2 linked regions of the Macaca mulatta genome follow. The protein of the gene in region 1 interacts with the protein of each later gene in a biochemical or structural test. Links are inferred from orthologs where the notes say so. Each region holds a gene or a part of one and is shown in the gene's direction. Other genes may lie near its edges.

Evidence for each region. The genes of interacting proteins can lie anywhere in the genome.
Region 2: the proteins of RC3H2 (region 1) and KLHL6 form a complex in vitro, tested with the Homo sapiens proteins (2 studies listed by BioGRID, with this or other methods). The link is inferred for Macaca mulatta from reciprocal best matches to the Homo sapiens genes RC3H2 and KLHL6.

The regions. Positions count from the first base shown.
Region 1 is NC_133420.1:24,902,423-24,908,454, forward strand, and holds part of RC3H2 (roquin-2), read left to right. Parts: intron 1-1,650; coding exon 1,651-1,851; intron 1,852-2,121; exon of another isoform or gene 2,122-2,232; intron 2,233-2,318; coding exon 2,319-2,451; intron 2,452-2,571; coding exon 2,572-2,690; intron 2,691-4,839; coding exon 4,840-4,952; intron 4,953-6,032. UniProt on the Homo sapiens protein: Post-transcriptional repressor of mRNAs containing a conserved stem loop motif, called constitutive decay element (CDE), which is often located in the 3'-UTR, as in HMGXB3, ICOS, IER3, NFKBID, NFKBIZ, PPP1R10, TNF and in many more mRNAs.
Region 2 is NC_133407.1:95,624,912-95,629,938, reverse strand, and holds the end of KLHL6 (kelch-like protein 6), read left to right. Parts: intron 1-304; coding exon 305-507; intron 508-1,900; coding exon 1,901-2,114; intron 2,115-2,378; coding exon 2,379-2,680; 3' UTR 2,681-3,588; downstream 3,589-5,027. UniProt on the Homo sapiens protein: Involved in B-lymphocyte antigen receptor signaling and germinal center formation.

The DNA.
Region 1 (6,032 bases):
GAAAATAGTACAGACAGAAAACTGTTTTCTTGGCAGACCGCTTAGTTTGAGATAACAGGTAATTGGTAATAGAAATGTGTTGGGATTAATTCATTTAACTCCACTAATGAGACTTGGACACTATCTGCCTCATAGTCATAGTGTTTAGTTTCATGCTCTTAGGGCAACTATTGAAATTAATCTCTAGTTCTACACACTTCATTAGGCCCTATAAAACTCTTTAACTTTTTAATGTATAGTTTTTTACTACTTAAGTAGAGGTTAAAGCTATATACCCTGATGATAATTTCTGGGGTAGCAGAAAATTTCTTCTTTTAAGTGACGGACTTTCGCTCTGTTGCTTAGGCTGGAGTGCAGTGGTGCCATCATAATTCACTGCAGCCTTGAACTCCTGGGCGCAGGCCATCCTCCTGCCTCAGCCTCCCAAGAAAATTTCTTAATTATCATGTGGTAGTGCTAATATATGTGTACCTATTAGCTGGATTCCTTGCTTGTCTATCTTTATCCTCTCCTGTTACCAAAGTGATGTTTTTTAAAACATAAATCTGATCATGTCACTTCTCTGCTTAAAAATCCTAAATCAGCCCTGTACAGTGGTTTATACCTGTAATCCCAGCACTTTGGGAGGCCAAAGCGAGAAGATTGCTCGAGCCCAGAAAGTCAAGGCTACAGCAAGCCTAGATCGTGCCACTGCACTCCAACCTGGGTGACAAAGTGAGACCCTGTCCCCCCCATCCCCTGTCCTCCCCATCCCCACCCCTCCAAAAAAATCAGTGGGTTCACATTCCCTTCATGATAATATCCAAATTTCCTACCGTAGTATATAATGCCTTCTATTATTATTCTCTAGCCTGTATCATACCTTAACCCTATGTGTTCTGCTTTTTCATGTTTCTGTTTCACCACTTGCTGCTCTTTTAAAAATTCTATTTCTCCCCCTTTTTTTTTCGTTTTTTTTTTTTTTTTTTTTTTTTTGAGACGGAGTCTCACTCTGTCCCTCAGGCTAGAGTGCTATGGTGCTATCTTAGCTCACTGCAACCTCTGCCTCCCGAGTAGGTGGGATTACAGTTGCCTCACACCACCACGCCAGACTAATTTTTGTATTTTTATTTGAGATGGGGTTTCATCACGTTGACCAGGCTGGTCTCAAACTCCTGACTTCAAGTGACCCGCCCACCTCGGCCTCTCAAAGTGCTGGGATTACAGGCATGAGCCACCACCCCGGCCTCCTCACCTTTCTTTGCTCAGGAAACTCATATTTATTGTACACAAATCAATTCATGTAGCTTTCAGCTGGGAGAAGCCTTTTCTGAAATCCCGTTCTTCTCGCTAATTTAATTCCTTTTCCTCTTTGTTGCCATCAAGCCTTATAATAGCACTTTTACTGTAATTTTCTACTTACAAGTTTCTCTTTCTTAACAGTGGCTGAAATCATTGAAGGCAGGGATTATGTATTTAGTTATGTAAGTTCTGTTCTGTTCCAGAAAGAATTTGTGGTCAGGACATTATCTTATCTATGTACCTTATTTGTTTGGTGTCTGATATGTAAGTATCCCCCAGCCTCCGTGAAAAAAGAATAAACGAATCAGTTGAAGGGAGAAAGCACAGACCAATTCTGATGAGTTTCTTTTTCTCTTTTCTATTTCTTAGGTTACCAAAAGAGATGAAGACTCTTCCTTAATGCAGCTGAAGGAAGAATTTCGGAGTTATGAAGCGTTACGCAGGGAACATGATGCCCAAATTGTTCATATTGCTATGGAAGCAGGACTCCGTATTTCACCTGAACAGTGGTCCTCTCTTTTGTATGGTGATTTGGCTCATAAATCACACATGCAGTCTATCATTGATAAGGTTTGTGAAATTAGAGATGCTGATGTTCTACCATTGCTGTTACGTTGAAGAGTAATAGAATATTCTAAAGAGTCTATACACAAACAGTTGGAGATTCCTGTGTTTTTAAATGTCAGACTCTTATAAATTATCCTTATTTTCTTTTTATTTTTCTACTTGCAAAATAAAGGGATGCAACAGGGAAACAAATACATGATACTAGCATAAAAGCAGTGAGGCTTACAAAATTTCAAGCTTATCTATATTCTGACCTCAGAGAGTTAATACAGCTTATAAGTTTTCTAAGTGTCTAATGATGAATTTCATAGGGCAGATTCTGAGGTGAAAATTTAATTCATCACTGATAGTCCTACTATGGAATCTGAAGACACTTGAAAACCTATTAAATGTGTTGAAAATTGAAAGTATTTGAATATAAATGTGTCATGAGAACCAAAGTAAAAAGCATTCTCATTTCTGTTTGTTAGCTACAGTCTCCAGAGTCATTTGCAAAGAGTGTCCAGGAATTGACAATTGTTTTGCAACGAACAGGTGACCCAGCTAACTTAAATAGACTGAGACCTCATTTAGAGCTTCTTGCAAACATAGACCCTAATCCAGGTATGTGGGAACATGCTCAGTTGCTTATATTTTTTTCTACTTTCGAGGTGAATAATACAAGAGAATTACTGCTAACATTCTTCCCCTCCCAACCCCCATGCCCTTGGTGGCTTATTTTAGATGCTGTTTCACCAACTTGGGAGCAGCTAGAAAATGCAATGGTAGCTGTTAAAACAGTAGTTCATGGCCTTGTGGACTTCATACAAAATTATAGTAGAAAAGGCCATGAGACCCCTCAGGTAAGTATATTTATTACATTTCTGACTGCTATTATCTCTAACTCAGTTTCATCCTGAACATCTTAACAAGCTGTTTTGTTAATTGGACTCAGTATGTGACTCATAAGTTTTTACCATCTCTGTTCTTTTGGGAGAAACCCAGTTTTTAATGTACTTGGTAACATTTTATAGCACAGCAAGAGTTTTGAGGGTATCTTAGATGTGAGTATACTTCATTACAGAATTTTTTTGACCAAATGTAGATAATTGATTCCAAACGTTTTATCTACTTCTTTTCTACCGTGGGAAATTGTCATTTATGGAATTCGAATTTTCTTTTTTCTTTTCTTTTTTTGAGACAAAGCCTCACTCTGTTGCCCAGGCTGGAGTGCAGTGATGCTATCTCAGCTCACTGCAACCTCTGCCTCCTGAGTTCAAGTAATTCTCCTGCCTCAGCCTCCCAAGTAGCTGGGATTACAGGCAAGCGCCACCATGCCCTGCTAATTTTTGTATTTTTTGTAGAGATAGGGTTTTACCATGTTGGCCAGGCTGGTCTCAAACTCCTGACCTCAGGTGATCTGCCCACCTCGACCTCCCAAAGTGCTGGGATTACAGGCGTGAGCCACCGTGCTCAGCTGAAATTTGAATTTTCAAGGTAATTTTCAATGTACTTTAGAAATTGAGATATAATCCTGGCCAGACACAGTGGCTCACGCCTGTAATCCCAGCACTTTGGGAGGTCGAGGTGAGCAGATCACTTGAGGTCAGAAGTTCGAGACCAGCCTGGCCAACATGGTGAAACCCCGTCTCTACTAAAAAAAAAATAAAAAATACAAAAATTAGCCTGGCATGGTGATGGACACCTGTAATCCCAGCTACTCAGAAGGCTGAGTCAGGAGAATCGCTTGAACCCGGGAGATAGAGGCTACAGTGAGCCGAGATAGCGCCACTGCACTCCAGCCTGGGCAATAGAGTGACTCTTGTCTCCAAAAATATAAAATAAAATAAAAAGAAGTTAAGATATAATCCTTTATACTAATAACTTCTGTTTATTAAGTTATTATGAGCCATTCACTACATTCAATGTTTTACATATATTATTTCTTATCCTCACAGTCACCTGCAATGTAGTTGCTATATCCAAGCTGAAATTCAAAGAGGTTAAATAATATAAGATTGTGCTGTCAGGGGGTGGGTGCAGTGTCTCATGCCTATAATCTCAGCACTTTGGGAGGCCAAGGGGGACAGATCACGAAGTCAGGAGATCGAGACCATCCTGGCTAACACAGTGAAACCCCATCTCTACTACAAATACAAATTAGCCAGGCGTGGTGGCAGGCACCTGTAGTCCCAGCTCCTTGGGGGCTGAGGCAGGGAGAATGGCGTGAACCCATGAAGTGGAGCTTGTAGTGAGCCGAGATGGCGCCACTGCACTCCAGCCTGGGCAGCAGAGCCAGACTCCGTCTCAAAAATAAAAATAAAAATAAATAAAAAAGATTGTGCTGTCAGTAAGAGCTGGGATCAAACCCATACTTTGTACTCTTCTTTCCTCATTCTTAGGAGACATTATAACTTAAAATGTTGACTGAAAAGCAAATGTTTTCATCTTAGGCCCATAAGAATATCTTAGATTTTGATGCAAATTGTAGAAGTCATAGTGAAATTTTAATATTCTGCCGCATTGTGTGAACTCAGATAGTTTAAGCCTGAGAGTTGTACCCTCAAGTTGACAAGTGAATTGGTAATTTTTCACTTTTGAGGGAATTGTATTCTACCTTTTCTGAGAAAGTTTAAGTACACAAAGCTTTCAGCTTTTTTAAATGCTTTTTAAAATTGTTTGATTTTGGTAGCAGAATTTTAAGACAGCAATAAATTGATGAAAAAATATTGTCTTTTTCTGGGCATTCTGTTAACTAATGAATAAATGGACATAATAACATTTGAGCCAGTTTCAAATAATCTTCAGAAGGAATATCTAAAGTGCCAACTCAGGGTTATGTCACATAACTCACAACAGGAAACAATGGAATATTAGTTGTTTCAGCACAAGAATTACTTGTCTAATGTGAAAAAGAATTAAAGGTGTAATTATAAAGTTCTGAACTTCCTAGAGTGAATTACAAATGGAATCTTCACTTTGCCACTCATTGAATGTGTTCCATTTTTGTAGCCTCAGCCAAACAGCAAATACAAGACTAGCATGTGCCGAGATCTGCGACAGCAAGGGGGTTGTCCACGAGGAACAAATTGTACATTTGCCCATTCTCAGGAAGAGCTTGAAAAGTAAGTGTCGAGAATTCTCTTTTATATGGGTTTAATTTTTTATTTTTATGGGAGTGTTATATACAGTCCTGAAGTTGGTGATGACTTTCAAAAATGCAAGTTAAGGGGGCTGGGCATCATAGCTCATGCCTGTATTCCCAGCACTTTGAGGGGCTGAGGCAGGAGGATTGCTTGTGCTCAGGAGTTTGAGACCAGCCTGGGCAAGATAAGGAGACCCCCGTCTCTACAGAAAAATTTTAAAATTAGCTGTGTGGCCCACAGTTGTGGTCCCAGCTGCTCAAAAGGCTGAGGTGGAAGAATTGCTTGAACCCCAGAGGTCAAGGCTGCAGTAAGTTGTTCACACCACTGCACTCCAGCCTGAGGGACACAGCAAGACTCGCCTCAAAACAAAACAAAACAAAGCATGTAAGATCTGGGTACCAGATTAACATACGTGCATTTAGACCCTCACTCAATGAGACCATTTTATATATTTTGAGACCATTTTATAGCTGGAATCCATATTTCTACTGAGCACCTGTGGAGAATGAAAATACTTGCAGTCTTATTTGCTCAGATTCAGTTAAACCTAGCAGCAAAGTCTCAGGCAAAATGGTAAAACAGATATATATCTTTTTTATGACTTTTGGTCTTTTTAACATTCTTTTTTCCTGTGTATTCTTTCTCTTCTCCTGTGGGTAACCTCTTTTTCTATGTCCATTTAACCGAGACATAAAAGTTAATGTATATAAGGTTTAATACTATTATCCAATTTTTGTTGTTTTGTTTTTTAAACAAAACTTTCATTATTGAGACCTCACCAAAAAATTCATCCCAGCCTTCCTACTTCTGCTGGCCAGTGTATCAACTTTTTTTTTTTTTTTTTTTTTTTGAGATGGAATCTTGCTCTGTCACCCAGGGGGGGAGTGCAGTGGCATGATCTTGGCTCACTGCAACCTCTGCCTCCCCTGTTCAAGCGATACTTCTGCCTCGGCCTCCCGAGTAGCTGGAACCACAGGTGCCCACCACCACGCCTGGCCAGTTTTTGTATTTTTAGTAGAGGCGGGGTTTCAGCATGTTGGCCAGGTGGGTCTCAAACTC
Region 2 (5,027 bases), on another chromosome or scaffold:
TGGATCCTGCCCCCCTGAAGCCTTCTTGGGGCCCTGCTCACTTAGCCACCTCTTCTCTGAACTCTCACAGCACTGAGGTGGCACATGACATAGTGTGGTACATCATCCCTTCTGTCTCTCCCTGTTCCCCTGCGTTTGCCTCATCTCCCCTGCCAGACAGCACACACTAGCCGGGTTTCTTATATCTCCCCTCAGGGTAGGGCTGGTCTGGGGACTTGGCGCTTTTGGATATGTGGGATATTATGGGAGAAGCTGTATTTCTGACGCATCTGATGGTTTCTTAAATGCTTTGTATCTCTTGCAGGTGGCAAAGAAACACAGCATGATGTTTGGAAATATAATTCTTCGATCAACAAGTGGATTCAGATTGAGTATTTAAACATAGGCCGCTGGAGGCATAAGATGGTGGTGTTGGGTGGCAAGGTTTACGTTATTGGAGGCTTCGACGGCTTACAGAGAATCAACAACGTGGAGACCTACGACCCCTTTCACAACTGCTGGTCAGAGGTATAGGAGACGATTTCTACCAGTAACTGCCTGTATTATTACTTCAATGCTTTTTTAGAAAGCTTTGGAACGTGCCTACCATGGTGGCCAGCTTTCTGATCACTTTACTCCCAAGGAGAACATTTTTGGTGGCTCTGAGCTTCCCTCCTCCTAGGAGCTATTGCTTCAGTATCACTGATCAAATCATAGAAACAATGTCCTTCCAAGTGGTGAAGGTCTGTGTGGGCACCTGTCCTAATTTGGACAGAATTCCAGATGTGGACGGAGGCTCACCCTGTCCTTAGATGGGAGATCTCTTGGTCTGCATGTCTTGACGTAGAGTCTTGTCTCCTCAGATGCCTTGTCTCCTATTCTCCGCACTGGACACATGCGGATCACTTTACTATACCGTTTATGAACCCAGAGTGATTTGGTCGTGTTAGAAGTCATCCCTTCTTTATTTTCCCATTGATGATGAGCCACTTGCAGCCCTGCATGTCAGACTTATCAATGCAACCTCAGGTGTATATCAGACTCAGGAAAAGAAAAGCCACCTCATCTCATTTCCAAGTTATTCCCAATTTCAAATTTTCTTTTTCCTTATCAGATCAGATGTCCAAGCATGTTCCAGCTTAATGGAGTGTACAACACAGTCATTGTAGGCACAAGCAAAGGTTGCCAGGTCAACACATCTAGCCAAGACTGTCAGCCTGAAAAGTGCTATATTGAGAGCCCTTAACATTTATGGGGAGCATACCTAAGATCTTCTCAAAACAAGCCCAATCACAGAGCTGCTCCATGATCTAAAAGGATCCTGCAAATAAATGGGCAAGAGGCTCTTGGAAGTCTCCTTTAGTGTCCTGGGGTTCATAGGGTAGAAGCACACATCTGACTTAATCTCAAAATCCTCAGTGCTACCCTATAATGGAAGAGTCTGCTTACCTGTGGCCACCTCAAACCCGTATACCAGCTTTTCTTCCTAGATATAAGCACCAAGGAAAATCAATGCTGGTACATAGTAGGCACTCCATAGATATTTTTTGAGTGGATGAGCACATGAACGTATATGAATATGCATGTATAAAACATCATTTTCCTCCAACACTGGCTGATTTCATCTGTATAAACTTATTCTTACCTATACTCCTCCTTCCCTGAGAGCTGGATTCTGGGAGAGTCTGGCATATCCCAACACACAGCTTGCTCTAGCTTGCGTGGAGCCTGGAGGGAGGGTGAGAAATGCATGCTTTCATTCTTGCTGTGTCTTCAGAGGATTCAAGCCTACAGGCCTTGTGACTTTAGGCAAAAGATGCCCAGTTCTGTGTCCCGGAGCTCTGTCCTGTATCCTGGGAGTTACTGCAGCAATCTGGGCAGCATGACTGACAGCTTCTTCTTGTGCCCTGTGCCTCTACAGGCTGCACCCCTCCTTGTCCATGTCAGTTCCTTTGCAGCCACCAGCCATAAGAAGAAGCTCTATGTGATTGGAGGAGGGCCCAATGGGAAACTGGCCACAGACAAGACTCAGTGTTATGACCCTTCCACCAACAAGTGGAGTTTGAAGGCGGCCATGCCGGTGGAGGCCAAATGCATCAATGCAGTGAGTTTCCGGGACCGCATCTATGTCGTTGGTGAGTAATGGCTTCTTATTGATCTGAATGGCTTAGAATCTGATTAGCGCTTGGCCGCAGCACGTCAAGGGTGTGTCGCGGTGCTCCACTGCTGGCAACTCACTGCCCCTAGGACCCACTCTGGCTTTCAGAAGAGCCGTCAATCGACTGTTTCTCTTGGCAAGAGGGTAGACTTGGCCTAACCAGAAATTGAATTTTAGTGGTTAAGAGGGAAGAACCCAGAAAAATGGAGCGATGCCCACCGAGTTTCCTCCCTCTCTTCAGGTGGGGCCATGAGGGCGCTGTATGCCTACAGCCCCCTGGAAGACAGCTGGTGCCTGGTGACCCAGCTCAGCCACGAGCGGGCCAGCTGCGGTATCGCACCCTGCAACAACCGGCTCTACATCACCGGCGGGCGGGACGAGAAGAACGAGGTTATCGCCACGGTGCTGTGCTGGGACCCCGAGGCCCAGAAACTGACAGAGGAGTGTGTCCTGCCCCGGGGCGTGTCGCACCACGGCAGTGTCACCATCAGGAAGTCCTACACGCACATCCGCAGGATCGTGCCTGGAGCAGTGTCTGTCTGACAGCAGGATGGGGAGCTGGAGAGCCCCCCAGATCCTCAGCGTGCCTGCCTCACCTCTCACCCTCCTCCAGCCCCACTTCAGGCTGCAGGCTCGAGTTTGAGGCCATGCATCAGGGGATCCCCTTGACTCACTTTGGGAGAACCTTGGAAGTCACAGTTTGGGGTCACTTGAGACTGGCCAGGAATGTTTGCATGACCTACCTCAGGAGGGGAGGTGAGGAAGAGTAATATTTAGTATTCAGGACCCACCCACCCTATGCCGGCTTCTGTGCCAGGCACTTCCTTGTATGGGTTCATTTAACCTGGTGAGTGGCTCTTATCACTTCTAGTTTACAGGTGAGGGAACAGAGTTTCACAGAGGCTAAGTGGCATGCCCCTGATCACTCAGATAGCAAGTAGCTACCCCAGGAGTCTAAAACCCAGGTCTTTCAGCTCCGAAGTCAATGCTCCTTCCACCACGCTGCCTATCTCAGGCAGGAAAAACAAGCAAAAAACCAAAAACAAAACCTGGCTCATGCCAGGCGTGGTGGCTCACGCCTGTAATCCCACACTATGGGAGGCCAAGGCGGGTGGATGACCTGAGGTCAGGAGTTCGAGACCAGCCTGGCCAACATGGTGAGACCCCCCGTCTCTACTGAAAATACAAAATTAGCCTGGCGCAGTGGCAGGCGCCTGTAATTCCAGCTACTCAGGAGGCTGAGGCAGGAGGATCACCTGAACTTGGGAGGTGGAGGTTGCAGTGAGCCGAGATCGTGACACTGCACTGCAGCCCAGGCAACAAAAGTGAAACTCTATCTCAAAAACAAAAACAAAAACAAAGACAAAAAAACTTGGCTCACTTCTTGTTTCGGCAAGTCTGCTAAAAGATTCACTCAGCACGGCAGGGAAATAAAGGTGTTTCCTGTTTTCTTTCCTTTTCTTTTTTATTCTGCATCCTCCCTCATCCCCACCCTTTACCAAAATTTAAACCAAGGAGTCATTTGGGCTCCTTGCCAAGAATATCTCATAGGTTCTTCCACTTGAAAGGTCTGGGGGATGGGTTTGGGAAGGCCTGTTTGCTTTGAAAGAGATGAAAGATGAAATACTTGTGTTCTGTCTTTTTTTTTTTTGAGATGAAGTCGCCCAGGCTGGAGTGCAATGGCATGATCTTGGCTCACTACAACCTCTGTCGCCCTGGTTCAAGTGATTCTCCTGCCTCAGCCTCCTGAGTAGCTGGGATTACAGGCACCTGCCACCACACCCAGCTAATTTTTGTAGTTTTAGTAGAGACGGGGTTTCACCATCTTGGCCAAGCTGGTCTTGAACGCCTGACCTTGTGATCCGCCCTCCTCGGCCTCCCAAAGTGCGGGGATTACAGGCGTGAGCCATGGAACCGGCCTTTTTTTTTTTTTAAATGATCATAAGATGGCCCATTTTGGACCAGAACTGTCATTGCCAGACAGAATTGTACCTTTAGCACAGTCTGGTGCCCTGGCCTCTTAGTGTTCATCAGTTGTACTACAATTTAGAAAAGATGTTTCTAGAGACTTAAACTACTGTTTTATTTTAAAAAGTAAACACCTGAACACAGCTGGCCTCCACAGGAACAACAGATTATCCTTGATGGTACACTTTCTAGTTTTTGGACAGTGATTTAGGTCCACCTTCCTGATACCCCATCCTCCTGAAGCCTTCGTTTTCAGGACTTTTAAAAAGCACTTCTAGTTGTTTTTTTGATCAGTGTAGCTCAATTGTGACTTAAAGAACAGAATCTGTCCTTCACTGTAAGAGCTAGAGCTTTCAAATGAGCTCACTGGAAATTCATTGTAATCCCCAAGCTGGAGAAACAGGTTAAGAGATCCTGTTTCATACGCTGTATTTAAAAAGCAACAATGATAACAACATAGTAACTGCATTACCCAATGGACTTTATTTTCATCATATGATTTCAATTCTCTTTATAGAGTTTTATTTCATGTCCAGTGTGGCTTGTTCTTCTCAGCCGTTTGGGAAGTTAGAGTTATTAGAGTTGACAGTGAACTTAATTTTCATTAAACAGTCATGGTTAGAAGAAGCTAATATTTGAAACAGATTGCAAAAACTTGAAAAATTACAGGTGAGATTTCTGTTTGTGCCAGATTATTGAAGATAAATATAAATGTATGTTGGTGTGTGAAAGGCTCTGTGCCTTAGAGGCATGACAGTTCAGCTCTCTGCTGTGGAAAGTAACACAGGCCAATAGAAGCATATTTGTGGAATTTTAGAACAAACTATGGCTGACTCATGAGCACTATAATAACCATCAGGAAGCTCCCAACTGAAACAATGTAACAATGTAATCTAGTTCAATTCAGCAAACATTCATGGAG